Linked DNA regions of Tamandua tetradactyla. Each later gene encodes a partner of the first gene's protein in a complex. Links are inferred from orthologs where the notes say so. Each region holds a gene or a part of one and is shown in the gene's direction. Other genes may lie near its edges. The genes, in order: TMEM237, B9D2, MKS1 and B9D1.

Region 1 (7,146 bases):
GAAATCTCTGGGCTCTGTTTTTCTTATCCTGCCCAGTATGTGGCACTTGTCTGCCTGTGGGTCCTACCAGCAAAAGATGTGGCACCTTTAAGTTTGGAAGACTCTCTCTGCTGGGGGCGTGGTGGAGACAGAGGCAAGGTTGTAGGCTGGTTTTAATGGCTTCAAATTGAGTAGTCCCAATTTTTATGATCCTTGGGTTTTCCTCAGTCATTAAGAAATGGAATTATGTGCTAAAGAGAATCAAGGAAAGAGAGATTTGTTCTTACCTGGATCAAACCTTGTGATCAGTGTTTGGTAGAATGGCAGGAGTATCCAAGGAGAGACAATAGTGAGATGAAAGGGAAGTGAGGGTGAAAAGAGCTGGTGCACCAGAAGAGTTATATCTTTGTCCCATGGGAGCACATACAGAATCCTACTCTCAGATTTTAATAAGGGTGTCCTAGTTCATAAATGGAACTAGGTAGGAACACTTGTGTATTCTCTGAGCCTTATGTATTCTAGAGCTTCACCTCTTGATTATTAAAATGTTTGTCTGTCTTTTGGAGTTGAGGACTTGGAGGCACATTGAAAATATACTGTGGCTAAAAAATCATTGCTAATTTCCGGTCTCAGGAATTTTGAGAACATTCATGCTGACTCTAGGAAACTAGGACCTCTGTTTTTCTGTGTAGGATATTCAAGTGGCTCGAACCCATGAACTGAAGCCTTATGTTATATATATAAAGCCATCCAACATGAGTTGTATGAAGCAATCTCGGAAGAATGCCAAGATCATTACAGACTACTTTGTGGACGTGAAGTTCAAGGTAAGACACAGAGGAAGTAGATGAATTCTTTTTTTCTAGTAAAAAAGATCACTGCATATTTCCACAGGATTCTTATGTTATGGAATGCAAATTTTGTTTCTAATGTGTAATTTTCTTTTGACTTTTTTAAACTGGATATCAATTACAGATATTTTAAGTTTAATCAATGCTACAATGCTATCATTTTTCTTTCCTTTGTGGAGTTAGCTTAAAAAAAAAGGCCTCAAAGCCACAGTTTGCAAAAGTCCTTTTTAAACACAGAAATTGAGTGTGCAGAAACCTAATTGTATTTAAAAAGGACTATTAATTTTATAAATAAGTTCACTTGGAAGTTTAAAAATGCTGCAGTGAATATACATTTGTAATATGAGACATCTTTATATTATTCATCTTTTATTATTTTTATCTTCATATTTTTTCCAATGACTACATTACATGAAAGTCTGATTCTCCAGGTTGCATTTAGGAGCTTGGATACCATGGATGTAGTCTCTGAATATTACTAGCATTTAAAGTGTTGTGTTTTCATTTTGATGTAGTCCAAACAAATTAATACAATTGTTTCTGATCAGGTATATGGCCACTTTGTAAAGGAGTATTGCTACAAGATTTCAATGCCTGATTTGCATTTGGGTTTATGACTTCATTGGCAACAAGCAGTACTCTTTTAGTTGCAATGGACAAATAAGAAAATAATAGCAATGAATTTAATGCCCTAGCAACAAGTGAAGGCTAAATGACCTTCATTAATGAATGGACATTTCTTAATAGCTACAGTGCAGAATGTTATAGCTAAAGTCATCATGAAGTAAATGCAATTTAGGTGTGCCTAATTCAATAGAACTGGTTCATACCTGCCAGTTATCATCCTTCCCTTTGGAAGTGGCCATTTTGTATTGCAAAATATTGTCATTCTTAACAGATGAATATTCATTTGAATTTTATGTTTAAATTTTATTTAATTGGGAAATATGCTTTGGTTTTATGTTGTATTTGCTCTGATAGCTTCAAGTGTTTAGATAATATAATAAAATAACTTAAATCTACATGAGAGAGAGGGAGTTGTCTGTCAATTAATCATCACTCAATTTTGTGAAACATTGACCAGGGAAAAACTGAGTAAGATTAACCATAGAATCATAAATTTTGTGGTTTAGAAGAGAGTACAATTATTGACCTAATTGTTATTTTAAATAACTTCTCAACTGAATGTGACAGCATAAAAATTTGCATTACTTCTATTTGTTCCATTAAATCTGTGCTAAACGTATTTTTCTATTTCTTCTGAAGGAGGAAGACTTGCAAGAAATGGAGGATATAGCCCAAAAAATGGAGTCTCAGTTTGGCCAGTTTTTTGACCATGTGCTTGTGAATGACAACTTGCAAGATGCATGTGCTCAGTTGTTGTCTGCCATAAGGAAGGCTCAGGAGGAGCCTCAGTGGGTCCCAGCAACATGGATTTCTTCTAATGCTGAATGTTAGGGAGGCGGGAGTTTAATGTTGGAGTTTTAAGAATGTACCTTTGTTACAGGGATCTGGAATAACAACTGCAATGTAAAACATTGATCCATGATAATGTGTGCAATTTAAAAGTGCTGATGCTTATTAATTTATCTTATTTAAATCAAATCTTATTTAAATGAAAAAAGCTTTTCCTTTACTTCATTTGCAACAATGATGAGAACATGAACAAAGTCAAATTATGGAGGATGAGAACTTTTCATTATTTCACATGGTCTTTGTAGGATTTAGATAAAAAGAGCTTTCTTGAATAAAATAGTGTTTAATTTCAGACACAGTATTTTACTTTATGAAATTCGTTTAAAGAAAATGTCACATGGTGCCTACACAAAAAGTGTCTAGTTGCCTAAGCAAGAAAGAAGAGTTGTATACACATTTAACATTAAAACATACAGAAACTGCACTGCCCACAACATTTATAAATCAAGCTACAAGGAAAAGTCATTCTTCTGATTAGGTCTGTTCCAATCATTGATCTTCGTAAAAGCCATATCCTTATTTATGCTTAAATTAGGAAAAGGTATTGGACTTAGTCCTAGAAACAGTATATGAGAAAAACACCTGATGAGGATGTTAGTCCATGAAAAGTCTAAAGTGTCTTGATTTTTCTTTCTTCCTTTGGGTCTGGGACTTCCAGTCACTCTCCCTGTTTCTGTATCTATTTATATTCTTTTACCCTTTTTCTCCATAGTCACACCATCCCACCACCCCTTTCTTAACCATAAAACAAACTTCAGTGCTTCAAAATATTTGTAGTTCTTTAAAGTGAGTAAGTATATTATTTTTCTTTAAAACCCAACCGGCCAACCAAAACTTTGTAGAAAATTAGTTTTTAATGATTATGTGAGCCCGGATTTTATTTTATAATGTAAACTTTATTAAGTATAATTTATGTACAATATATCGCATTCATTTAAAGTGTGCAACTTGATGAATTTTGACAGATATATCTACATATGAAACTACCGCCAGTCAGGATACAGAATGCTATCCTTACTCCCAAGTTTCTCCATGCCCCTTTGCAGTATACTCTTCCCTCTAGCTCCCTCCCCAGGTAACCACTGGTCTCCTTTTGTGTGAGATCCACTTTTTTTTTTTTTAAATCATGACACGGATTTGATTTTATGTTGCGGTTCTTCGAGAGAGAAAAAGGTTTCCCAAACTCGATTTACACAATTTTGAAGTGGAAGATAAACAGCTGGAGAAAAAAAAGGGGGGGGGGATTGCCTGTATCTCCACACACACACACACACACACACACACACACACACACACACAGGGGGGGATTGCCTGTATCTCCACACACACACAGGGGGGGATTGCCTGTATCTACACACACACACACACACACACACACACACACAAAGGGGGGGGATTGCCTGTATCTCCACACACACACACACACACACGCCCTGAAACTGTGCGCCGGGGTGTGTGTGTGTGGGGGGGGGCGGTATGGGGAGGGAGACAAAGGGAGAGTGTCGTCCCTAATCCCGCCACCGCGGAAGGCAGAGCCAGGCCCAGCAGAGACGGGTAGGAAATCCTGCTTCCCGGGCGGCGGCCTAGTCAGGAGCGCCCGGAGCCCCCGCCTCCCTCAGGTCCCGGAGGCTGCAGAGTTGCGGGGAATCGGGCTTGGCCCCACGGCGGTTTTGCCAGCAGAGCCCGCGGAGGAAGAGCAGCATGAGGCCCGAGTCGGAGCCCCGGCTGGCGGAGAACGTCCCGGTGAGCGGGGAGGGCGCGTCGGCCGCTGGAGGCGGCGGGGTGGGGGGCGCCCTAACCCAGCAGCCGCCCGGGGGCGGGCCAACGCCCGCGGACGGGGGCCGGGAAGCGAGGGCCCAGCCCCCAGGGTTCGCGTATTTGCCCCTCCCGGGCTGATAAGATTGGGGAGGAGGCCGGACCACACTCCCGGAGCCCCGCGAGAAGCTCCCAGGGGCCCGAGCGCCCGCGTTGTCATGACACCGCCGCATTTATTCGCGGTTTCCGCGCTTCAGCTGAGGCCTATCTTACCGCTCCTCCGCGAGGGCTTTCGGCTGCCCCGGAAAGACAGGGCTGTTTGCGCACGGAGACTTTTCATCATGATCTTCCCTCACGTGCCCCAAAGAAATGACCGCAACTACTCAGGAAACCACGGGAAAAACCGTGACTGTTGCTTCACGCCTGTCGCAGCGGCTTGGCCCGGCACGTGAACCTCCTCCTCGAGCCCCTTTTTCCGCCTGGGCGGACTGGAGGGGTCGGACCAGGTGCAGGCTCTCCTCCTCGCTCCCACCCCGCCCCAGGAGGCCGCGGGCGGAGCCGGTGCCGGGCAGCCAGGGAACTGCGGCTGCGCGCAGGGCAGGGCGCTCGGGTTTAGGATGGGAAGGAAGCAGGTCGTGAGACAGTTACTTTTATTTATTTGAATCGTGAAAATTCTGTGTTCAGTTGAGGCGACGTGTGTTTTAAGGGCTTACTAAAAACTTACTTGGATTTCTAGATGGGTGAAACGTCATTTTTGCGGGACTTTTGAAGGGAGGAGTTAACGTTTGAACTGGGTTCTTAGATAGAACGCGGTCCACGGCATCTTCAGAACAAAGGCGCATCCGTCTGATTACCCTTTTTTTAAGTTGTAATTCTGACTGCTGTACATTAAGACGGTTTGCCTAACCTTATAGCGTTTGAATTAGTATACTGTTGGACGACAGCTAAATGGAACAAACAAGTGTCTAACATTTAACAGTTTTTATTTTTGTTAACATTTTAATCACTTACTTTGTGTACACTTCAGTGATACTAATGTTCAAGTTACATCCACAATACTGTGCCATCATCACCACAATCTATTACTAAAACTTTTTCATTAACTCAAGCAGACTGGGTATTCATTAATCCATTAAGCAGTGATTTCCCATCCCCCCTCCCTTGGTAACCTGTAATCTACTTTCTGTCTGTATGATAAAATTTAATCCTTTAGCATCAATGTCCTTTAAAAGCAGCATGAGATTTTTGGAGTGGTAAGCTGATTTCTAAGCCTATCTTGTTAGTATTTTTTTTTTAATTTTTAAATTAATTTTTAAAAATATGACAAAGGAAACATTCTAAGCATATCATTCCGTTCTACATATATAATCAGTAATTCACAATATCATCACATAGTTGCATAGTCATCATCATGATCATTTCTTAGAACATTTGCATCAATTCAGAAAAAGAAATAAAAAGACAACAGAGAAAGAAATAAAATGAAAAAAGAAAAAAATTATATATACCATACCTCTTACCCCTCCCTTTCATTGATCACTAGCATTTCAAACTAAATTTATTTTAACATTTGTTCCCCCATTGTTTATTATTCTATACGTTCTACTTGTCTGTTGACAAGGTAGATAAAAGGAGCATCAGACACATGGTTTTCACAATCACAGTCAAATTGTGAAAGCTATATCATTGTTCAATCATCATCAAGAAACATGGCTACTGGAACACAGCTCTACATTTTCAGGCAGTTCCCTCCAGCCTCTCCATTACATCTTGAATATCAAGGTGATATCTACTTAATGCTTAAGAATAACCTCCAGGATAGCCTCTGAACTCTGGAATCTCTCAGCCATTGACAGTCTCATTTCACTCTTCCCCCTTTTGGTGGAGAAGGTTCTCTCAATCCCTTGATGTTAATTCTCAGCTCATTCTAGGGTTTTTCTCAGTCCCTTGATGCTGAGTCTCAGCTCATTCCAGGATCTCTGTCCCACGTTGCCAGGAAGGTCCACACCCCTGGGAGTCATGTCCCACGTAGAGAGGGGGAGGGTGGTGAGTTTGCTTGTTGTGTTGGCTGGAGAGAGAGGCCACATCTGAGCAACAAAAGAGGCTCTCTTGGGGGTGGCTCTTAGGCATAATTTTAAGTAGGCTTGACCTATCCTTTGTGGGGTTAAGTTTCATGTGAACAAACCCCAAGACTGGGGGCTCAGCCTATAGCTTTGGTTGTCCATACTGCTTGTGAGAATATCAAGAATTCAACTTGGGGAGGTTGAATTTTCCCCCATTCTCACCATTCCCTGAAGGGGACTTTGCAAATACTTTTCCACTCACTGATCAAATCACTCTGGGATTCATCTGGTCATCACTCTGGACGAACCAACAAAATCTCATGTCCTACCCAAGGTTCCATGTACTTATGGTGTTCAACCAAGCTATCTACATAAGTTATATTAGGAAATGTACCAGTCAAAATATAAATTTTGTACCAAAGAAACATTTTTTGCTTTAGTTTCACACATAAGTTGAAATTTTAATATATTAATTACCATCTATTTTCAGCACCCTCCAGTAATGACATTCCTTTGTTCTTCCTCTTGCAAAAACATTTTTAAAATTTGTACATTTAGTCACTATCATTATACACTCTAGGCATTCCTAGATTATACCATCTCAATCTTTATCGTCTATCTTTCTTTCTGATTTCATTTATGCCCCTCCTCCCTCTATCATTTTCATATCCAGCTTCATTCAGTGTTTAGTATTTTATTTTGAATGATTCCAGAATGCTTCTTAACTGTAATGCTTTCTGAATTGCAAACACAAATTTTCCTATTCACGTAAAGGAGCATTTAGGTTTTTAACTTTTTTGTGGTGGTTGTTCTTGCTGCCCTAAAATCCGTACTTCAAGTTAAATTCATAGTGATCTTTTAAAAATTACTCTATCACTATAGATTTCCTTTGGTTTCCCACTGAATTAAAACAAAACTCAGAGGATTCCTCTTGGTTTAAAAGACCCTGATGAATCTGGCCCTTGCCTTCCTCTCATTGGTAAATGCTGTAGCCTTGCTGGCTTTTTTTTAAACCTGGAACA
Region 2 (7,366 bases), on another chromosome or scaffold:
CTACTTTCTCTCCTGGCTTCCCGTTTCATGAAGCTCTCCGGGAGGCATTTTCCTTCTTCATCTCCAAAGGTCCCTGGCTTGTGGGCTCTCTGCTTCTCATGGCTATGTCGTTCTTCTCTGCTCTCTATGAATCTCCTTCTTTCTCCAAAATGTTTTTTCTTTTATAGGACTCCAGAAACTTATCAAAACCCACCCAAATGGGTGGAGGCATGTCGTCACTTAATTCAGTTTAACAACCACTCTTGACTAAATCACATCATCAAGGGAGATGATCTGATTACAGTTTCAAACGTTTAGTATCGAATAGGGATTATTCTACCTTAATGAAATGGGATTTTGATTAAAACATGGCTTTTCTGGGGGCATACATCCTTTCAAACCAGCACAGTTGGTATGCTTAATAAATAAAATTAATTAAAAAAAAAAGGGGGGCTTGACTAGTCATCAGCAAAGCACAATGCCACACCAACACACACCCATCAGAGGAAAAAGAGAGGCTCAGAGGAAAAAGAGAGAAATACCAACGGCTGGTGGAAGAGGGGAACCACGAAGGCACTGCCACTGGGAGAGCAAATTGGTTCAACCCCTTGGTAAACTGTTTGGCAGCTTCCTCTATAGCTGAACATGTCCTGTGATTCAGAAATTCCACTCCAACAGTTGTGGACCATGTCCACCAAAAGAGAAATTCCCACCAATGGTAGGATGCAGAACTAGTGGTGTCTTCACACAGTAGAAACGATACAGCAATGAAAAAGAAAGAGCTACAGCTACATGCAACAGTGTGGATGAATTTCATAAAAACACTGAGCAAAAGACTGCAGACACAAGGGAATATATACTGTGTGTGATTTCATTTATATAATGTACCAAAAAATAGGCAAAACTATTCCACATGAAAGGGACAGAGCCATCACTTAAATGCAAGCAGTTGACCTGTGGAGTCCATTTTCGTAATCACTAACCAAAACCAGTGGGGAAGAAATCAACTGAAAAAAAACACTTAAGAAAGGGCACTGACCCCAATCTTGGGGTTTGTTCATATGAAACTTAACCCCTCAAAGGATAGGCTAAGCCTACTTAAAATTAGACTTAAGGGTCACCCCCAAGTGAGCCTCTTTTGTTGCTCAGATGTGGCCTCTCTCTCCAACCAACACAGCAAGCAAACTCACCACCCTCCCCCTCTCTACATGGGACGTGACTCCCAGAGGGGTGTGGATCTTCCTGGCAACGTGGGACAGAAGTCCTAGAATGAGCTGAGACTCAGCATCAAGGGATTGAGAAAAACCCTAGAATGAGCTGAGACTTAGCATCAAGGGATTGAGAAAACTTTCTCCACCACAAGGGGAAGAGAGAAATGAGACAAAATAAAGTGTCGATGGCTGAGAGACTCCAAACAGAGTTGAGAGGTTATCCTGGAGAATTATTCTTACAGATAATATAGATATCATCTTTTTAGTTAAGGTGTAATGGAGAGGCTGGAGGGAACTGCCTGAAACTGTAGAGCTGTGTTCCAGTAGCCATGTTTCTTGAAGATGATTGTATAATGATATAGCTTTCACAGTGTGACTGTGATTGTGAAAGCCTTGTGTCTGATGTTTCTTTTATCTACCTCATGGACAGACGAGTAAAACACATGTAGTAAAAATAAATAAATAATAGGGGGAACAAATGTTGCAATAAAATTAGTAGATTGAAATGCTAGTGATCAATGAAAGGGAAGGGTAAGGGGTATGGTATGTATGAATTTTTTTCTGTTTTCTTTTTATTTCTTTTTCTGAATTGATGGAAATGTTCTAAGAAATGATCATGATGATGAATATGCAACTCTGTGATGATATTGAGAATTACTGATTATATATGTAGAATGGAATGATCCTGTGGGAAGAATGTTTGTGTTTGTATGATGGCATGTTTAATAACTAAAATAAAAAATTAAAATAAAAAAAGAAAGGGCACTGATAGGACTTAATGAACAGTTAGATAGTGGAAGTTATGAAGTGGGGGGTGACCTCCAAGCACAACCTTCAGACTCCTTCGATACCTGTGTGTATCAAGACAGGCAGGATAACAGGTAAATTAACTTAAGGTTTAAGGACAGAGATAGAAAAGAACTATGATCAATTTGGCTAAAGGCAAACGATTTTGTCATAATTTCTTCATATTAAATGGGGCCTATAATATCACCTACCGGGTGGATATCTATGAGGATTAAAGCAGATAATGCATGTAATAGGGTCAGTTCAGAGGCTGGCACAGAGGCAGAACTCATTAAATGGTAGCTTTTTTTTTTTTTTTTCCTTACATGGGCAGGCACTGAGAATCAAACCCGGGTCCTCGGGCATGGCAGGCAAGCACTCTTACCTGCTAAGCCACCGTGGCCCGTCCATGGTAGCTTTTAAATACATCTATTAATGAGATAATCCTGTTCAGTTATTTTATGTCTATATAAATGTTATATTGAAATGTTGCCCCATCATTTCGTGTTGGTGAGTCTAACTTTTGAAGTTCCTGTTTTGCTAAAAATACGGAATCAGTTCTCACTGGAGTCCTGGATCGGGTGGACATAGAAACTGGGGATGGGAAAGGCACTGCGCAGGAATTCAGGTGAACACGGTTGACTCTAGCCCACCCTCCCTGCACCCTTTGCATTGATGAGATAATTGAGACTAGACCCGGGTGGGGTCACAGGAGACCTTATTGGCGGAGTCCAATCTTTAAAAACGAGATTTTTGCAGATAAACAGTGGCTCTGTTTCTCATTTCTCATTTATTCACCCTGGTCTTGTTCGATACCAGCAATATGGGGGAAGAGGGACTATTTCTGAAAAGGAAGTTGAACTTATCCGTCCTTAAGCGGCAGGGGGTAACCTCTAAAAATGGAAGGAAATCCTCCTCCCCAACTTCTGGAGTTTCTCCGAATGGGGAAGGACTTCTTTCCAGTTATGAGGCAGAGGGATGCACACAATGACCTGGAGGGCATGTCCCCCTTGACCTTATCTCAAGTCTCTGGTCTGTGGTCCTGGACGGAAGAGAGTGTTTCTTTGGGGGGTGGGGGGTGGGGGCACTGAACATGGACTGATGCACTTATTTTGTTAAGAGAGTATCTGGGTGCAAATATCCCAAGAAATGATCATGATGATGAATATGCAACTATGTGATGATATTGTGAATTACTGATTATATATGTAGAATGGAATGATCAAAATAGAATACTTGCGCTTGTTTGGTGTTCTTTGGTATTTAAAAAGATAAAATTAAAAAATTTAAAAAAAAAAAGAGAGTATCCGGGCCCTCTTACAGGCAATCCCAACCTCCCAGGAGGCAACCAGTGCAGTTATTTTATCACTGTAAAGAAGGTTTGTCAGTTCTGGAACTTCCTGTAAGTGGAATCATACGGTAAATATTCTTTTACGTTGGACATTTTCTACCATGTATAAAATTTCTGAGGTTCACACATGTTTTGTATATGTCGGTAGTTTTTCTTTTCATTGCTGAGTAGTATTTCATTGTAAGAGTATAACAATTCTTTTAAAATCTATTCTTTTATGGAATTTTGAGTTATTTCTAGTTTGGGGGCCATTTACAAAGCTGGAGTAAACATTTTTGTACAAATCTATTGTGAGCACGTGCTTTCATTTCTCTTGACTAAATAGCTCTAGAATGGAATTATTGGTGATAAGTTGGGCATATATTTATATTTATAAGAAACGACCAGTTTTCCAAATGGTTGAACACTTTTTACTCTCTAATCAGCTAAGAGAGAGAGAGAATATCTGGATAAAACAATTGGAGCGCAAACTTCCTCAGCCACACTCAAGATGGCAGCCGTCCATTCGAGCCCAAGTGTCTGAGAGGAAGGAGAGACGCAGTTTTCCCCAACCGGAACGAGACGGGAGGAGAAAACAGTCAATCACATCCTTACCCCGCCCCCTAAGGACGCCAGCACCAATTAGCGACGCGCAGGGCGGATCTAAGCCTGGGAGGAGCAGGCTGCTGTTGCCCAGCAACAACCAGGGAACCCGGAGGCTGGCGCCGCCGCGGAAAGGCCGCCGCCTCAGCTCTCTCGCTGCCGGAAGGAGCCTGGAGAGGCGGAAGACAGGCCTGAGAAATCAGCGCCCGCTAAGAGAGGGACAGGTTAGCGCCATGGACTGCAATACCCGCTGACACTTTCGCACCCCCTAAACGTTATGTGCGCCGAGTTCGGAACGACGCATGCGCTGCTCTGAGAGGTGGGGCTAAGGCGGTCCTGCGCCCAGAAATGCAGAAACGACGCATGCGCCTCCTGGAGCGCGGGGCCGATCCATGCAAGGGGCGGGGCTTTGCCCCATGTGGGCGGGGTCTTACGCTCCTGGGGCGGGGCTTTCCGCTGTACTGAGCCGGAGGAAAGTATTTTGGGGTGGGACAGTTAAAATGCCAGCTTCTCCGCCCAGCCTGCCTATCTTTCGGTGACTCTTCTGGGGTGACAGTAAGGGTGTGGTTAAATACACAAGCCCGCAGGGGGTTGACGAATCTGGCCTGGAACCTTGGTACTGCCACGTACTTGTCGGACCCCAGTTTCCTCAACTATCATGTGGAGATAATGCACTACCTCACTGTGCTTCTAATTCTCTCCTCTCAGGGCCATGGCCGAGGTGCACGTGATCGGGCAGATCAAGGGGGCCACTGGCTTCTCGGAAAGTAGCCTCTTCTGCAAGTGGGGCGTCCATACAGGTATTCTGGTCCCGGTTCATTTCTTCACCCAGACCCCCAGCCCAGAGGCTCGGCTTTCCTTCCTGATCCTCATCTTCCATCTGCCCTCCGAGTCTGCGCCCAAAGCCCAGTCACCATCCTCATGAGTCTCAGGCTGTCTCAGTAGCTGAGGGCTCTGGCTCTTACCCTCGGAACACACAACCTCTTAAGCATATGGCACTGTAGGCTGTACCCCTCCACTTCCAATCCTCAAAACACTACGCAGCCCGAACTCTGTTTGGACTTCACTCCCTGGCTTAGGGGTGCCCTTAGACTCTCCCTCATCTTAATAATTCTTTGATTAACAAATTGCTGCTATCTTTACAGTTCTTAGTGTAAAGTAGATGTTTCTACCCCATATTTACAGAGGAGAGCTGACCCCCTGGTGTTTATAATTCTCCGTGAAGGTAGCCCACCATTCTGGCAGTCATTCAAGTCTGTCCACAGAGGCAGGCCCAGCAAGGCTCCCAACCCCCCAATTTTCCCACCTTCCCATCGGAGGCAGTATGTGTAGGGGTTAGGGCCACCAGCTCTGGGTTCAAGTACTAATTCCCCCATCAATTAATTGGGGACCATTGGGCTTTCCCTTTCCCAGCCTCAGTTTCTTAAGATAAAAAGCAGCTAAGAGGAGTCACCATGTTGAGGTCAAGAGCATAGACTGCGTTGGTTCAAAAACAGTTGCTACTTCTTAATTATGTGACCTTGCCTCAGTTTCCTTACCTGTACGACAGGAATGATAACAACCTATACATCATGGAGCTGTTGTGAGGACTAAATGAATAGCAATAGCACTTAGCACGTGGTCTGGCAAGCAGGGTTTGCCTGGCTCATATTAGAATTTGAACGGGTCTTGTTTGTAAGGCACCAGGTAAATGACCATGCAATGAGTGTGGCTGTGGCTGTCACTTTCCCTGCAGGCCCCAGGTCCTCTGTGACCTCACTGGTGGGTGGTGTGGTATTGAGATTCCCTGGAAGTTCAGAGTAGATAAGAGGCAGCCTGTAGAGACAGCCCTAGTTTCCAGTCTGGGCCCCACCATTCATCTGCTTTCTGACCCTGGGCAGGTGCTGTCCCCTCTCAGAGCCTCAGTTTCCTCATCTGTAAAGTGGGAGTGGCATTCACCCTCCATAGGTTACTGGGAGAGCTGGTATGTGAAAAGCCTGACTCAGGGCCTGATGCTTTGCTCAGCCAGCCTTGAAGGGAGCAACGACTAACATAATTTGCTAATCTGGGGAGTTGTTGGGGATTGGGGCGGGGGATGGGGGTTAGTCCTGAGGAGAACTCAGGGGCAGTCAGATCAAAGGCTTGGGCTCCATGGTCAGACAGAGCTGAGTTTACTGTGGGACCTTGGTCTGCTGTGGTCACCACTATGCCCCAAGCAGCACCTGGCACACAGCAGGTGTGTAATACATGTTACTGGAATGAATGGTCAAGTGACTTTCCTTCTCAGAGCCTGTTTCTTTACCTATAAAAGAGTATTATATTAGCACTCACCTCATAGGATTTTTCATTTACCCAACAAACTTTTATTGAGAGCCTTCTGTGTGTTGGGTTTGAGATCCTGGGAATAGGCCAGTGAACAAAGTCCCTGCTTTTCCAGTGTTCACAGTAGGGGAGACTGAAAATAAAACTAGCAGATAAAGAAATGAGTGCAATGATTGCAATAGTGGTCAATGCTAGGAAGACAAGAAATGGGATGAAAATGTTAAAATAAATTTAGTTTGAAATGCTAGTGATCAGTGAAAGGGAGGAGAAGGGGTATGGTGTGTATTGTTTTTGTTTTTTTTTTCTGTTTTCGTTTTATTTTTATGTTGTCTTTTTATTTCTTTTTCTGAATTAATGCAAATGTTCTAAGAAATGATCATGATGATGAATAGGCAACTATGTGATGATACTGTGAATTACTGATTATATATGTAGAATGGAATGATCACATATTAAAAAAAAAGTGGGATGATGTGGAAGAGACAAGTTTTTGGATAGCAGGGCTATGGAGAGCCCCTCTGGAAATGGCACTTGAGCTGAGGCCTGAAGGATGAAAAAGAGGTAGCCATAGGGAGAGCCAGGAGTGGCAATTTCTGGGCAGTAAGTGCAAAGGCCCTGAGGTGGGAATGAGCACGGCACACTGGGGAACAGAAATAGGACCAGTGAGGCTGTAAGTTGGGGAGGGGGAAAAGCGATGGGAGCTGAGGATGGGGGTGGGGGAGGGCTTTGAGAGCTGGGGGATGGGGTGGAATGGGTGGGGATTAAGAATCCTAGAGGGTGGCTTAAATGAAGTCATTACCTAAAGTGCTTCATACAGTATCTGGCATGTAGTGAGCACCCAGTATGCTTTTGCTATTGTTATCACCCCTCAACAGAATTGCTATTCTTCCACTGTGCCCCCATAGATGATACCCTCAGCCCCATCTTAGTCTTTGCACTAGGATTTTTAATGTGGGGGTGGGAATAGTGATAAAATATCAAACCCTTACCCAGCACTCACTATTTCCCAGGTGCCGTTCTAGGGGCTTTTTCTGTATTAACTCTGATTCTCTCAAAGAACGATGAGGAAAGTATTATTCTTACACCCATTTTACAGATGAGAGACTGAGGCAGAGAAAGTTATCTCACCCAAGGTTGCAAAGGCAGGAACACGTAG
Region 3 (7,390 bases), on another chromosome or scaffold:
TGATTGCCAGGAGAATATCAAGAAAGGGAGATTGTAGAAGCTGAATTTTTAAGTGCTTGTGTTTCTAAACAATTGAAATCTGTTCTTGCAGAGAGAGGGGCATATAGGAGCCAAAATCATCCGAGTCCTGCCATCTAGAACACCCCTATTGCTCCATGTCAGGACATGTCCCTGGAGACATGGGCTAACCTGTTGGGACCTGTAGGGAAGAATGGAGCTGACTAAGATAAAAGCAATTAATTATCAAAAGCTTAGTATGTTTCTTAGGAAAAGGCATTTGAGATCTGGCTGGGATTTACAAGCAAACTGCTTCAGAGGCTCAGCTTCTGGGTATTGCTGACCTATTTTGGTCTCCTACTGATTCCGGTAACGTTCGTGTGATAATAGTGGTCCCACCTGTTCTACTTGTTGACACACTGCCTGTAAGTGGGATTGGGAAATGGTGGGATGCTCAATGCTCGCTCTCTTGGTGCACTAAGTTGGCCTGAGTTTTTTCTGTCTTTACTGTAGTCCAAGGTGGGAATAGAACAGGGAGTCTATAGAATGTAAAAGAATATTGCCTGCATTCCTGGACCCTACACTCCCTCCCCTCCCCCCAAAAAGGATATTACTTGCAGATTGTGATCATAAAATCAAAGCCTTCAATGGTCCACGATGTTTCTGTATTATGGTAAAATAATTTATGAATAACATTTGTGGTAGATGCCGCTGGTGCCCTGCCCATGTCTCCTCACCCACGAATACACTTTGAGAATCCCTATTCTACACCATTTGCCAGAGTTCCCCAAAGGGATGAAGCTCTGGGTGTCTTCAGTGGAACTTGATTGATAATGCCTACTTTAGGCTTTGTTTCCTTACCTCCTTTCTTCCCCCTTCTCAAACCAGCATTTCCTGGATCACCTCCCCAGAGCGTTACTTGTAGCAGATGCTTTTGGTCTCATTCCCAGGTCCTCTTTACCAGCTGCTGAGAGTGTTAGCTGCTCCTTTACAGTCAACCCCTATCTCCAAACCAATGATCTGTTCTCCATCTCTATAGTTTGTCCTTTTCTAGAATGTCATATAAAAGAAATCATATAGTATATATAGCCTTTTGTATCTGGCTTCTTTCACTTAGCATATTGCTTTATGTGTCAGTAGTTCTTTCGTCTCTAAGGTTGAGTATATTCCATTAAATAAATATTGTACAATTTGTTTCAATATTTACAAATTATTGTAGATAAATTTATTTGATGAATAAAATAAATATTGATGAATAAAGTTTACATACAGGTCTTTGTGTGAACATATGTTGTCACTTCTTTAGAGTAAATACTTAAGAGCGGAATTGCTGGGGATCATATGGTAGGCAAATGTTTAGCTTTATAAGAAATGTCCAGTTTTCCAAAATGGTTGTACTATTTTGCATTCTGATCAACCCTGTATGAGAGTTCTAGTTGTTCCACATCCTTTTCAGCACTTTGTATTGTCCATCTTTTAAATTTTAGCCAATTTAATAGGTGCGTAATGGTATTCCATTGTGGTTTTAATTTGCACTTCCCTGATGACTGATAATGTTGAACACCTTTTCAAGGACTTATTGGCCATTTATATGTCTACTCTGATGAAGTATCTGTTAAAGTATTTTGGCCACTTAAATAATAAGATTGTTTGCCTTATTATTACTGAGTTTTAAGAGGACTTTATGTATTCTGGATATAAGTCCTTTATCAGATATGCATGTGTTTTGCGAATATTTTTCCCAGTCTGTTTCTTGTATTTTCATTGTCTTAACAGTGTCTTTCAAAGAACAGAAGTTTTTCATTTTGATGAAGATCAATTTATTAATCTTTTCTTTCATAGTTTGTCCTTTCTGAGTTCTAAGAAGTATTTACCCAGCTCAGGGTCTCAAAAAATTTCTCCTATGTTTTTGTCTAGATGTTTTACAGGTTTTTTTGCTGTTGTTGGGAGTGGGGGTGCATGGTCTGGGAATCGAACCTGGGTCTTCCTCATGGAAGGCGAGCATTCTATCACTGAACCACCTGTGCACCCTAGATGCCGTACAGTTTTAGCTCTTACTTTTACATCTCTGATCAATTTTGCTGTAATTTATTAAATTGCTCAAGGTTAGGGGCTGAGGATTTTTGCTTTTTGTGGTGTGTGTGTGTGTGTGTGTGTATGAATGTTTCCCTGATGTCTGGATGGTAAATCATCCCAGGATTATTTGTTGAAAAGACTATCCCTTCTCCATTGAAATCCTTTGGGACCTTTGTCAAAATCAATTAACCACATATATATCTATTTATTCTGGGCTTCTCTTCTGTTCCATTGGTCTTTATGTCTACCTTTATGCCAATACCACATTGTAGTGTTCACCATATAGTTATATTAAGTGTAGAAATCAGGTAGTAAATGTTCTGATGTGGCTCAGATGGGCCTGGATTAGGAAATAAAAATTTGGGAAGGAGCTGGGGATGGGAGTAGATTTAAGGAGGGAGCACTGTTCAAAGGAAAGCCCATAGGTTTGAGTCCAAGATGTAAGCTAGACTCTACGCCCCCTTGTCATGGCAACTGTGGGAAATTCAATTAATGTCTTGGTTTACAAATACATAAAAGGGAGACAAGAATATCTATAAAGTCTGTAAAGATAAAATGAAATAGTATATGTGCAAGTGTTTTCTAGACAAAGCAATTTATACAGATGCTGATGTTATTTCAGGGAGAACACAGTGGATATCAACTCTGAACCACAGAGGTGGGGTGGGGTTGAAGGCTTATGGATGATGGAACATGGAATTTTGGCCTTTATGCTGCATAGTCCAAACCTTTCATATGAAACAAGATGTTAGAATATGAATGTAGTAGGACCATTCTTGATATCAGGGTATAAATTCTTTCCAGAATCTGATAAAAATCATGAACTCTTTCCAGAAAATGTCCCTCACTAAATTCTAAGAAAGGGGTTCACAGATTCCTTGAACTCTACTTAGAGACCCTCATTTTAAGGATTCCTGATTCATATGTACCAGTGAAAAAGAAAAAAGCATGAAAAATATAGTTTACCTGTATAAGAATAATACTAATTTTAGTCCCTTATATAAAGAGCTTAAATTTCCATACCATGTAGTATATTTACTATTTTGCATACAACTATGTCAGATTGACTTTGTGTGCATTCAATTTGGTTATAACATTAAATTGTTTATTCACAACTGTGAAAGGAAAATTTAGAGTGAACGTTTCTTAAGAACTAGTATTCTGCCTCCATGTTTCATCTGTTGAAATAATTACTTACCAGACTGGAAACTGTGTTCTCTCTCTCATGGAGCAAACTGATCGGTGAGAGCCTTTGAAGTGCAGTGTAAGGTGTTCGGGTTTCAGAAAAAGATAAACTTGGCCTGGAATCCTAGCTCCTTTACCACTCACTAGTAGTACAACCTTACTAAGACCTATAATTCCCTGGACTTCATTGGCTTCATCTGTTAATTGGGAATACCTACTTGAAGAGTTTCTATGAGGATTTGGGACAATGCATACAAGGTACATAACAGGGGTTATGGTGCCCCAGAATTCCCAGAGCCATATAATCAAATGGCATGAGATATGAGTTGAGGAGACAATTGCTTACTCTGTTGGGAGAGTACCAGATGTCAAAGACTAATAAATGTTGATATCCCCAAGGTGCCAGGGAGCTAGACTCAAGGTTATGGTGTGTCCTGCCTATGCTAGTTCAATGAAGCATGTCTCCTGAATGGCACTTTGTTGGTCTTTCAGGACGCCAGTGCAGTTTCTAAGGTGGCTTAATGACCCAGAACTAACATACACAGGGGAAGAATCTGTTCACTAATAACATTTCCCCCTTCCTTACTGTTGACTTCCTTGTTTTTTCTTTCTCTCGCTTAGTGAATGCCAATGCAACGACTAATGAATGGACACCACCTTATTTTCCTCTCCAAGGATATAGTTTCGATTGTGGGTAAGTGCCAATCATCTTCCCTGACTCCTTTGGAAAGAGTGGGTGCTTTCTTTGATTCACGTTCATCAGTTTTCAGGCCAAAGTTTTAACGTTCAGTGGAAGGCGGTGTGGCAGAATGGAGATAATGGGCGTGGGCCACCTGAGTCCCTATCACCATTCTTCATCTATATGAAACGAGCTGATGGTTGGGCCGGTTTCTTTATTTGTAAATGCATCAAGTCCGGCCTTGGGTATGAGTGAGCTTTGTTCATACGCTGACCAGGTGAGACGCTGCCGTGGACCGCCTTAGGCGTTCGGCTGCGCCGGGACTGCACGGGCCGGCGGGCGGGCGGGCTGCGGGGCCGCACCGGGATTGCGCGGATTGCGCACGCAGCGCCTGGGTGTCCCCGCGAATCCAGCGTCTTCGTTACTAGGGAAACCTGGGCGGCGCGCTTTCCGGCGCTGTCGTGGCGCGGCGCTACTCTGCGGTCATGGCGGAGACCGTCTGGAGTCCTGACACTGCGGAGGCCGTGTATCGTTCCCGCGACCCCGTGCGCAACTTGCGCCTCCGGTAGTCGCACCGCCTTGGCATGGAGTCCTGTGCTCCCCTCTCCCGCCCCCCAAATAATTCGAGCCTGACTTCTTTTCTCGCTTTTCTGACTCCCCGACTTCCGTTTTCAAACCCGACCACACACACCCTCCTCGGCCTCCCAGCATCACGCTGCCTCTCAGGACGCCTCTCCGCTTAAAGACCTCCTCTTAAGTTCCTTCCCCACCCAGATTCGTCAGCACCCGCGCCCTACCGACTTCCCCTTAGTGGCCTGCACCCAGAGCACCTTAGCAGCCCTGCCCTCTGCTTTTCCCCCCACTATCCTTGCTGTGTTCAGTTCTGGTTGTGTGTCTTGTAACGCGTGTTTTGGGCCTCTCTTTTCCTGACAGCGTCCACCTGCAAAGAATCACATCAAGCACCTTTTTCCAGTACCAGCCTGCTGCCCAGCCTGGGAAGGACCTCATAGACTTGGCAACTTTTAGGCCCCACCCGAGCGCCAGTGAGTGTTTTGGTGGTGATGTGGCCTCCTGGGAATCTGGGGAAGAACCTGTTGTGGTAGAGTTACTTTTAAGATGGAGCACACTCAGGTTTATGTGTGAGTGTGAGAGAAATCACCTTTTTCAGACTAGGCAACTGCAGTACAGAGAAGTTGGGTTCCTTGCCCAGGCAGTTTTAACTACTACACTAGGTTGTGTATGAAAATTGAATAAGCCATGATTCCTGCCATTGAGACATTGATCTGAATTGTGGTCAAATGTAGTAAAATAACAAAGCCATACTTTAGAAATGTTGAAGAAATGACAACTTTAATACCATTTTTCCCCTAAGAGAAGATATGTTCCGAACTCTAAATGATGTGAATGCTTTGTTAGACCATTTTAAAGTTGAGGATTGCTTGAAGAATGCACATGTTAACATCGACAGTGCTGTTGTGCTTTTCCTTGTCTGGGAATCCAGAAGAGTTGAGGAAGAAAGCACAGTGTGCTTGTGTAAGGTTACTAGTCTCTCTGGTTTTATCATGTTTCTGTTTCTGTTAAAAAATATTCCCAGAAAACATATGGGCTGGAGGGGTGTGAAGTATGTGTTTCTGAAAAAGGCACGCTCAGCCAGGAGTGGGTTAGATTTGGGTCTTTTAAAAATTTTATGCTTCTACATAGATGGCTTCAGTGTTCCTTTTTAGTAAATATAGACAGTTGAGATTAAGGAAGGGCTGTCATCCTTTATCTAAATTTCAGCCCCTTATACTGAGTTAGATTAAATGATTCCTGGAAGGCAGGGCTACCTTTAACTCAAATTAGAACAGTATTTAAGACTTCTTCGGTTTTAATTCTGGCTTTTGCACATACTAAACAGAGCCCATGCATAACCTCTCTAGTTTCTGTCTAGAGTCAGTGCTAAAAAAACCATCGAATTCCAGCTATTTTTGAGCCAGACATAAGAGCAGGGACTTTGATTATAACCATCAGAGGAGTAAGAAGTGGTCCTGGTTTGGCTTCAGCAGTTGACTCGGTCTGTTATCTTTGAAGGTGGACACCGTCCGGATGAAGATGAAGAGGAGGAGGTGGTGATTGGTTGGCAGGAGAAACTGTTTAGCCAGGTAAGCCAGTGTGACTTGTCCACTGAATCTTCCTCCACTTGGTCCATTTCCACTTGGATGACTGCAGGGAAAAAAAACCCCAACTTTGAAAGAGAGGGCTGTTGCCATAAAGGTGCCCTAGACCCATGTCATTATTTATTTATTTATTATTTATTTATTTATTTATTTATTTATTTATTTATTTATTTTTGAACATGGGCAGGCACTGGGAAATGAACCCAGGTCTCCGGCATGGCAGGCGAGAATTCTGCCACTGACCCACCATTCTACCACCCCATGTCACTAATTTTAAACTATTTCAGTGAATATTTTTGTATTAGACCCTGTTTTACTCTGGTTATTTTCTCAAATTAGATTCTTAGAAGTAACATAACTAGATGAAAGTATTAGTTTGGAGATTCTTGATACATATCACTAAACTGATTTCCAGAAAGACTGTAACCATTTATACTTTGCCTTGTAGTACAGGGGCAATAGAACATAGTGAAAAATAGCCCTGGCTTTGAGTTCAGGTAGACTTGCGTCAAATCCTGACTGCCACTAGCCAGTTTTATGATCTTGGGTAAAGCACTTTTCACCTCTGGGCCAGGTGCACTCTATAACAGGGAAGTTGGATTAGACTGTTACTCTTATTCTTCTTACTTCTTAACATTCTTTGAATACCCTGCTCTCTGTTAGCCTGGATGAGTGAGAGTTGGTTATGAAAACATGTCAAATAGCATTTGTTCTATAGAACTGGTTTAGTTAGAAAGTGATAAGAACCACAGTTAGAAGTACTCTCAGTAAACTCTGTTTTCTTTTGGTGACCTCAGTTTGAGATAGATTTGTACCAAAATGAAGCAGCCTGCCAGAGCCCTTTGGATCACCAGTACCGTCAAGAGATACTGCAGCTGGAGAATTCAGGCGGCAGGAAAAATCGACGAATCTTTACCTATACTGATTCTGATAGATACACCAACCTAGAAGAGGTATTTTTCTTTCCAAGGTCCCATCGCATCCTTCTCTTTTGCCTCCCTTACTTACTAGCCTCAGTGAGTTCTGTGTATTAATAAGAAGCCTGTTATGGGGAAACAAGTAGCTAGCCCAGAAACTGCTGTGTGCTGCTGGCAGCCAAACTTGATTGAGTGGGCACAATCTGCAGATGGTGTGTCTTCTGCTCCCTTCTCTGCCTGCTGGTGGCCCTGGCAAAGCTGGCATGGATCAGCATCTGTAGTGATAGGCTTGCACATTGCAAATGGGGGAGAAGCAGTCACTGAACTTCTTCCATGCATCATGAGGTGAGACAGAGAAGGTAGAGTTTGGAACAGTTTAG
Region 4 (7,362 bases), on another chromosome or scaffold:
TGCGTGGCAGCATTATTCCCAATAGGCCAGAGGTGGAAAATCCCCAGGTGTCCTTTAGCAGGTGTGTGGAGAAATGAACCCTGGTGCCTCCCCATGGTGGCTGAACATCCAGCCGGCCACAGGAATGAGGCCCTGACACACTGCAATGTGGACCAACCTCCACGACATGATGTTGTGTGAACGGGCCAGACACAGCAGGGCAGCTATTGCAGGATTCCTATAGAAATATCTAGAATAAGCACATTCATGGAGACAGAACGTAGAGGTTCCCAGGGATTGGGAGGAGGGGAATAGGGAATTATTGCCTAATGGGTGCAGGGTTTCTGTTTGGGGTGATGAAAAGTTTCGGTAATGGATGGTGGTGATGGTGGCACAACATTGTGAGTTTAATTAATGCCCCTGAATTGTGCACTTAAAAATGTCAAATTTAGGGTGGATCACGGTGGCTCAGCAGGTAAGAATGCTTGCCTGCCAAGCCCGAGGACCCGGGTTCGATTCCCCATGCCTGCCCATGAAAAAAAAAAATGTCAGATTTCATTATGTATATATATTTCATTATACATCCCAGCCCAGGCAGATGGGTGACTTTACAGTGGAGCGAGGACACCCAGGCATCACCCTACCCCGACCCCACTGATGAACACGCAGAGCCCTGGAGCAGGGCAATGACTTGCCCAGGGTCACGTGGCATGTTAGAGACAGGCTAGGGATGGGAACCTCCGCTTTGGGCTCTGCCCCTGACCCCAGCTCCCTCCTGGGGACCTGTCAGTCTGCTGTGCTGCTGGAGTCTGGGGGCCCTGAATCTTCTGCACCCTCCCGCCCCGGCCCTCAGCTGAGAGCTGAGCTCTAGGCCTGGGGGCCCCCAGAGGGTCCCCAAGAAGCCCCCATCCCCTCATGCGTGCAGAGTAACAGGCATTTGGTAAGTGACTCCAAAGTATGCACCCTCCTCCAGGCCCCCCTGAGAGCTTCAAGTCCAGTCGGGGCCACCAGAAGACAGCACTGGTGTGGCAGGCCTGGGGCCAAGGGGCTGGGGGGCAGACAGCGTGGGGGTCAAAAACAGGGGTGCTTTACCCGGATGTCCATGTTCCATGGGACGCTTTGGGTCACAAGAGGTGGAAAGGGCATCCGAGGGAATAGCAGCTGCAAAGTCGAGGGAGTGGGGCAGCTGTCATGCCCGTCGGGAGCATGCTGGGGAGGGATCGCATGGCGGGGTGCAGGGGAGGCAGGGGGCAGTGGCAGGCGGAGCCGGAGGGACCATTGTGGGAGGCCTGTCCCCCTGGCACAGACCCCAGGGCAGATCTGAAAGCGAGGGCTCTGGCAGCTTCCTCTTCCCTGGGCCAGTTCCCTCTGGCCGGGTGCATGGGCCTCACGGGAGCCGATGGGAGGAAATTTGAGAGGTTAAATGTCCTGGGCTGCCAGCGAGAAGGCCAGACGCACCTGCACCCCCTCCAGAAATGTCGCCACTTCTTCTGTTGCTGCTACTGAGTAAAGAGCAGTGGGGAGGGGTCCTGGGCAGTAGAGGGAAAGGGCCCACCCCTTGAGGACTGAGCATCCAGATTTTCTTAAAATCAGTCACCCGGTCTTGGGTTAGATTAACAGGAGCACGGGGTCCAGGGCAGAGAAGGTGACAGGAAGTTGCAGGGAAGCTGTCTAAGTTGCAGGGATAGGGAAATGGCCTTTAAAATCCTGAGGGTGGGGCAGGCCACAGTGGCTCAGCAGGCAGAGTTCTTGCCTGCCATGCTGGGGACCTGGGTTTGATTCCTGGTGCCTGCCCATGCAAAACAAAACAAAAAAAATCCTGAGGGTAGGAGCTGGTTGAAGGCTCTTGTAAAGGGGACCCAGATGCCATAGGAATGATTGAGCTCCCTGTCTTGAGAGGAAAGCAAGCAGAGTTGATAATGAACTTCGGGACGAGAGGGAGAATTCTGCTTGGTAGAGGGTGGGCCTGTGAGCTGGTTTTTCTAGGAGCCCTGAGAGCCAAGGAGGGAAACCTGGTCAGAGTTCCCAAGACCTCTGGCCACGGTGCCTAAACCCCCTCCTCCACTCTCTACCACTCACCTCCCAGGGACCCTTCTTCCAAGAAGCACTCCAGGTTGCAAGCCATAGGGATCCAGGAATTATACAGGCAGGAGTGTATGCTCTGGGGTGCAGAGGGGGAGCATGGAGGCTCCAGTCCTGCTCTGTCCCCTCCTGCTGGGTGGCCCTGAGATGGTCAGTAAGCCAACCAGAGCTCCCACCTCCTTCTCTGCCGAGCCACACCTGCTGCCTGGAGGGGAGCTGGGCCTCCAGCAGTTTGCAGGCTCCATGGAAGCCTCGGGAGAGGGAGGCTGGGGAGGCGACCTGGGCTGGGAGGCCAGACACGAGGGTTTCCTTGGTTGAAATTCCCGGAGATTTTGACTAGGAAGGAGCCACTGCCCCCAAGTGGCCCTGGCAACAGAGGAAATGTGGGAGCAGGTACAGGCAGACCCCTCCTCCCACCCCAATCCTGTACAGCATCTGCCCAAGCCAGTGCCTTTCACCCCCTGCCCCGGGGTGGCCCGTGCCCCAGACCCCCCTCCCGCCCCCCTGAACTCCTGTGAACCCCTCACTCCACCCGCACCCTCCCAATGCCACCAGACTTCGATCGAGCTCAGCATGGCCACCCTCCCACCCACTCCCACTCCACCCTGAGGTCTCCCATTTCCCCAACATCCAAGACATGGGGCCAGCCTGCCCCTGCCCCTTGGGGAACCCCGCATGCTATGTCCTGTTGAAATGGGGGGCAGCCTTTTTCACAGCCAGGCTTTAAAGAACCGGTCACCCCCTGCTTATTCTGTAACCTCAAGCATTTTGCTACCAACATACTTCTGTGCAACACTCGGCCTGAAGAGCCATAAGAAGGAAAGAAGGGGGCGGTTTGTGGAGTTTGTAGGAATAAGCATGTTTTTTTTTTTATTACTATGATTTCTTTTATTAAAGAAGCTGTAGATTTACAGAAAATGCAGAGTTCCCATATACACCCACCTTATTATTAACATCTTGCTTCAGTGTAGTAATTTGTTACAACCCATGAAGGAACACTTGACTGTTGTCCTATTAACTACAGCCCCTGGCTTGGGGTGAGGGGGTGAGAACTGTGCTGCACAGGCCTAGGTTTGCTCGTTTAAATTTGTATTCTAGTGATTTTAAATGGCGAGAAACAGCGTGAGTGAGGGGTGTGACCAAGTGCCCTGGGGGAGAGGGGGCAGCTCCTGCCTTGTTTCTCCCAGAGGGGCCCCCAACCCATCCGGCCTCCCCGCAGCCTCTCCTGTCACATGTGAGCCCACAGCTCGCCTTCCCCCAAAAGATTTCTCTGCTCACCTGGTGGGGGGGGCTGTTTGGGTGGAGCTGGGCTGTGACCCCTCCCTCCCTCCCCTCTGGGGTGGTTGACAGCCCCCCCCCCATCGGCTCTCCAGCAGGCACTGGGTGCTAAAGGGGTGATGGCCTGGGCTCCCTGCTCCCACGGCCTCCCTGAAGTCTGTGCGCCTACGCCCACCTTCCTTTCCTGGATCCGGGAGGATGCCTGGATGCCAGTCTCGACCCACTGGCCCAGCAGCAACTTCGGGGCTGTCGTCCCGCTGCTGCCCCTGAGTGTCCACGTCAGCTCCCCAAGCTCTGAGTCCCAGCTGCCTTCCCTGCTGAATGGGGGGTTCTCTCACCCATTCATCAAGGAGTCTTCCTTGAGCACTTCCGACGTCGCCCAGTGGGGCTACACACCTGTCCTGGGGCGGGCTGGTCCGGAGGGGGGCAAGCGTCAGCCCCGACGCCGACGCGACAAACGTGCAGAACAAACCTCAGTGGGCGCGGAGGGCTCGAGGGCGCAGGGGACTCGGGGGCGCGGGGACCGCGGGGGGCGCAGGGGGCGCGGAGGGCGAGTGGTGCGCGGAGGGCTCGGGGGCTTGGGGGCGCGGGGGACGCGGGGACGCGGGGGACGCGGGTCCCCTGTCAGCAGAAGCCGGGGCCTTGTCCGAACGGCCTGCGGGCATCGGACAGCGCCTCGGTTTCCTCCGAGGAGCCTGGAGGGCCCCATTTGCTGGATGGGCTCGCGAGCTATCCCCAGGGCCCTGGCAGCCCCCCACCGTCCTGCGCGGTCCCCGCCGTCCTCCCCGCGGGCCACAGCGACGCCTCGCGGCCGAGGGCGCCCTCCTCCCCTCAGCGGCCAGCTCCGGGCGTGACTGCGCGGGGCTCCGGGCTCGTTCAGTTCCCTGCCTCCAGCGCCCACGCGCGCCGGACGGTCTCGGTTCGGGCCCGGAGACTCGCGCGGAAGCCCCGCCCCCAGGGCCCTGCAAGCCCCGCCCCTCCCCTAACGCCTGGGGACGGCGCACACGCAGTTGTTTTCGCGAAGGTCGTGCTGCCGAGAAGCGTGTCCTGTGCGGCACGCCGTCGGTTTCCAAGGCAACCCCAGCGCCTCCTAGCAACAGCGCGCTTGGCCCGGGTGGGTTCCCCGCGCCCCCAACCCCGCCATGGCGGCCGCGGTGCCCAGCGTCTTCCTACTCATGGTCAACGGGCAGGTGGAGAGCGCCCAGGTGAGCGGCCGTGGGCCCCGCCGCGGGCCGGCGCCCCTCTTCCCCCGGGCTCGGTGTGGACCCTGGCGGGCCGGGTCGCTCCCCTGAGACTCCCTCGGTGGCGCGCGGACGGAGCCGGCATGGGCTAGGCGGGGCACGAGCCGGGTGGAAACTGAGGCCTTGAGAAGCTGAGTCGTACCCAGGTCACACGCCTCGGACCCGAGTCGCCGAGGACCCGGCCCGGCGGGCGCACGGGGCCTCGTCCTCGCGACCCCGAGTCCAGGGCGCCCTCTGAACCCAGGTATCCTTGAGCTTGGGCTCGTAGGGCCGGATTCAGGTCATAGGACCCAGCGATGGTGACCGGGGCCTAGAATGTACCAGGGAGGGTGTGTCAGACAGAATGCTTATCCCCCGACACTTTATAAAGACATTTATTGTTGTAAAGAAGTGAAAGCCAACGTGCACCAAGTACGTGCCGAACACTTCTCATTTAATCCGCACAACCACCCTTGGAGGTACACCCCCACTTCACAGACGGGCACACCTGCCCGGGGGACTGGCAGAGCTGGGATTTGAACCCGTCTTTCCGACTAAAACAGCTCTGCTACAACCTTTCAGGAGGTTGGAGATAGCGTTTATTATTGTATTATTGTGAGGATTAAATGATCTGGTTTAGGCAAAGCTCTGCCAGGGCCTGACACTTAGTGGGTGGCTCCTATCTTCCCCAGTTTTGTCAGGGAAGTTTCTATCTTAGGTCTGCCCTCTCCACCTCTCCCTTGGCCTAGTGCCCAGGACTTTCTCCCTGCCCCCACCTTCTCGTGTTCTATCCCATTAGGGGGCTCTCAGCTGGCCTGGGCCACATGTGTCTGAGAACTCAGACTCCTGCCCCCCTTGCCCTTTCTCTCCCTTTTCTTAGGCCCCTCCCATTCTCCAGGCCCTCTCGTGCTTCCTGTGGCCTTCCTCGTTCTTACACCTTTCGCTTTGGTACCAGTCCCTCCCACCTTTCCTGTGCCATTGCAGGGGTCAGACCTGTTCACAGTCTACTAGGATTGACAGACAGATATGTGCTATCAGTGCTGTGATGGAGGAAAGCACAGATGCTGAAGCGGCCAAATGGCGGTCCTTCAACCAGCCGGCGAGCTGGGGCAGGCCTCCCAAAGGGTGAGATTTGAAGGATAAGCAGGGATTTGCCAGGACTGGGAAAAGCATGTCACACAGGAAGCAGAGCCTGAGCAAAAGTCCAGGGGCTGCAGCAGCCTGGGATTCTCAGGGTCCCACTTCTCAGCCCCAGCTGTCGCCCAGGCCCCGCATCAGGTACCTCCTGTGCAGAACTCCTCTTGGCTGCACCTGGCTCGCTGCTGTCTGTCTGAGCCCGAACTCTCGGAGACAGAGCCTGTGTGTGCTTGTTTCCACAGTTCCCGGAGTATGACGACCTCTACTGCAAGTACTGCTTTGTGTATGGCCAGGACTGGGCCCCCACGGCGGTAAGCTGGACTCCTGGTCCTCCCTCATGGCGTCTATCACGCCCTTCCCCGCCCGGTTCAGAGCCAATGGAGAGGTGAATCCACAGTTTGGAGGGGAACCTCAACAGGAGTTTGTTCCTGGTAGGGCTGGAGTGGAGAATGCAGCCATGGTTGGGTGGACTGTCACTTCATCCTGCAGGCTGCCCTCACCCGTGTGCACGGTCATAGCAGCAAGGAGGAGCGTGTGTGCAGGCAGCAGGCCGGCCCCAGAGAGCCCACATGGGGCCAGTTGTGACACTGCGGGCCAGTCCCCCCATTGTGTGGCATCTCCTCGGCCACGGGGACAACTTCTGAGAGTAGGAAGGCAGCCAAGAGCTTTCTTTCCAAGATTTCCCAGAACAGTCTGTCTCTAGGCTGCTTGGGCAGTTGAGGAAATGAAGGGCCAACTTGTTAACCCCCGAGCCCCAGTTTCTTCATCTGTACAACTGAGGTAATAGTGCTCGTCTTCCGTCCACTTCTTCCTTGGGTGGCAATTTACTGAGAGCCTTCTGGGTGCTGGGGAGACAGTGGTGAACAAAACAGATAAGAGTCCCTGTCTTCCCAGAGTGCACATTCTTATGGCAGAGAGACAGACAATAATAGTAAACGTTCTCGCCTGTCAGCTAGCAATAGGTGCTGAGGGGAAAGATAAATTGGGAAGGGGTATGAAGGAAAAGAGGGAGGTTGGCCTCTCCATCCGGTAGTCATGGAGGGGCTCACAGATAAGGTAACTTCTGAATAAAGAAGGAAGGGAAGGAACAAGCCACGTGGAAGTGTATGGAGATAACCTTCCAGAAAGAGGGAGCAGAAAGTGCAAAGGTCCTGAGACAGGAGTGGACCTGGCATGTTGAAGGAACAGCAGGGAAGTTGTGCAGCCAGTGAGCAGAGTGAGGGAGCAGGGAACTTGAAGGCGAGGCAGAGTAGTGGTAGAGGGGCGGGTTTCATAGGGCTTTGAGGTCAAAATGCGACCCTGTTCTTTACCCGGTGACGTGAAACCCAAACCCCATCTGAGCACTGGGAACCAAGAGCAAACATGGGGTCTGACTTCTCTTTTAAAGTGATCCCTCTGGCTTCTGGGTTGAGAACAGGCTGTGTTACAGGGGAACAGGGACGACAGCAGGGAGACCAAGCTGATGGTTACAGAAACACCGATGTGGGTGGCAGTGGGAGTGGGGAGGGCGGTGGGATTTTGAATGTATTTTTAAGGCAGAACCAGCAGGTTTTCCTTTTGGCCTCGCTGTGGGGTACAAGAAAAAGGGGAGTTGAGAATGATGCCAAGGTGTTTAGCCCCAGCACCTGGCAGCAGAGAGTTGCAATTAAGTAGAAGGCTGGGGGTT

What was found.
Region 2: TMEM237 (region 1) and B9D2 share a complex: the UniProt entries of both Homo sapiens proteins name them as parts of the tectonic-like complex. The link is inferred for Tamandua tetradactyla from reciprocal best matches to the Homo sapiens genes TMEM237 and B9D2.
Region 3: TMEM237 (region 1) and MKS1 share a complex: the UniProt entries of both Homo sapiens proteins name them as parts of the tectonic-like complex. The link is inferred for Tamandua tetradactyla from reciprocal best matches to the Homo sapiens genes TMEM237 and MKS1.
Region 4: TMEM237 (region 1) and B9D1 share a complex: the UniProt entries of both Homo sapiens proteins name them as parts of the tectonic-like complex. The link is inferred for Tamandua tetradactyla from reciprocal best matches to the Homo sapiens genes TMEM237 and B9D1.

Annotation. Positions count from the first base shown.
Region 1 is NC_135329.1:176,262,965-176,270,110, reverse strand, and holds the start of TMEM237 (transmembrane protein 237), read left to right. Parts: upstream 1-4,142; 5' UTR 4,143-4,430; coding exon 4,431-4,693; intron 4,694-7,146. Other genes in the region: MPP4 (MAGUK p55 subfamily member 4), read left to right, coding at 672-806, 2,097-2,288. UniProt on the Homo sapiens protein: Component of the transition zone in primary cilia. Required for ciliogenesis.
Region 2 is NC_135342.1:22,441,398-22,448,763, forward strand, and holds the start of B9D2 (B9 domain-containing protein 2), read left to right. Parts: upstream 1-4,346; 5' UTR 4,347-4,409; coding exon 4,410-4,444; exon of another isoform or gene 4,445-4,525; intron 4,526-4,617; coding exon 4,618-4,709; intron 4,710-5,447; exon of another isoform or gene 5,448-5,633; intron 5,634-7,366. UniProt on the Homo sapiens protein: Component of the tectonic-like complex, a complex localized at the transition zone of primary cilia and acting as a barrier that prevents diffusion of transmembrane proteins between the cilia and plasma membranes.
Region 3 is NC_135332.1:39,209,171-39,216,560, reverse strand, and holds the start of MKS1 (tectonic-like complex member MKS1), read left to right. Parts: upstream 1-4,378; 5' UTR 4,379-4,422; coding exon 4,423-4,502; intron 4,503-4,870; coding exon 4,871-4,980; intron 4,981-6,007; coding exon 6,008-6,078; intron 6,079-6,890; coding exon 6,891-7,046; intron 7,047-7,390. UniProt on the Homo sapiens protein: Component of the tectonic-like complex, a complex localized at the transition zone of primary cilia and acting as a barrier that prevents diffusion of transmembrane proteins between the cilia and plasma membranes.
Region 4 is NC_135332.1:2,671,346-2,678,707, forward strand, and holds the start of B9D1 (B9 domain-containing protein 1), read left to right. Parts: upstream 1-4,355; 5' UTR 4,356-4,481; coding exon 4,482-4,544; intron 4,545-5,543; exon of another isoform or gene 5,544-5,636; coding exon of another isoform or gene 5,637-5,684; intron 5,685-5,938; coding exon 5,939-6,007; intron 6,008-7,362. UniProt on the Homo sapiens protein: Component of the tectonic-like complex, a complex localized at the transition zone of primary cilia and acting as a barrier that prevents diffusion of transmembrane proteins between the cilia and plasma membranes.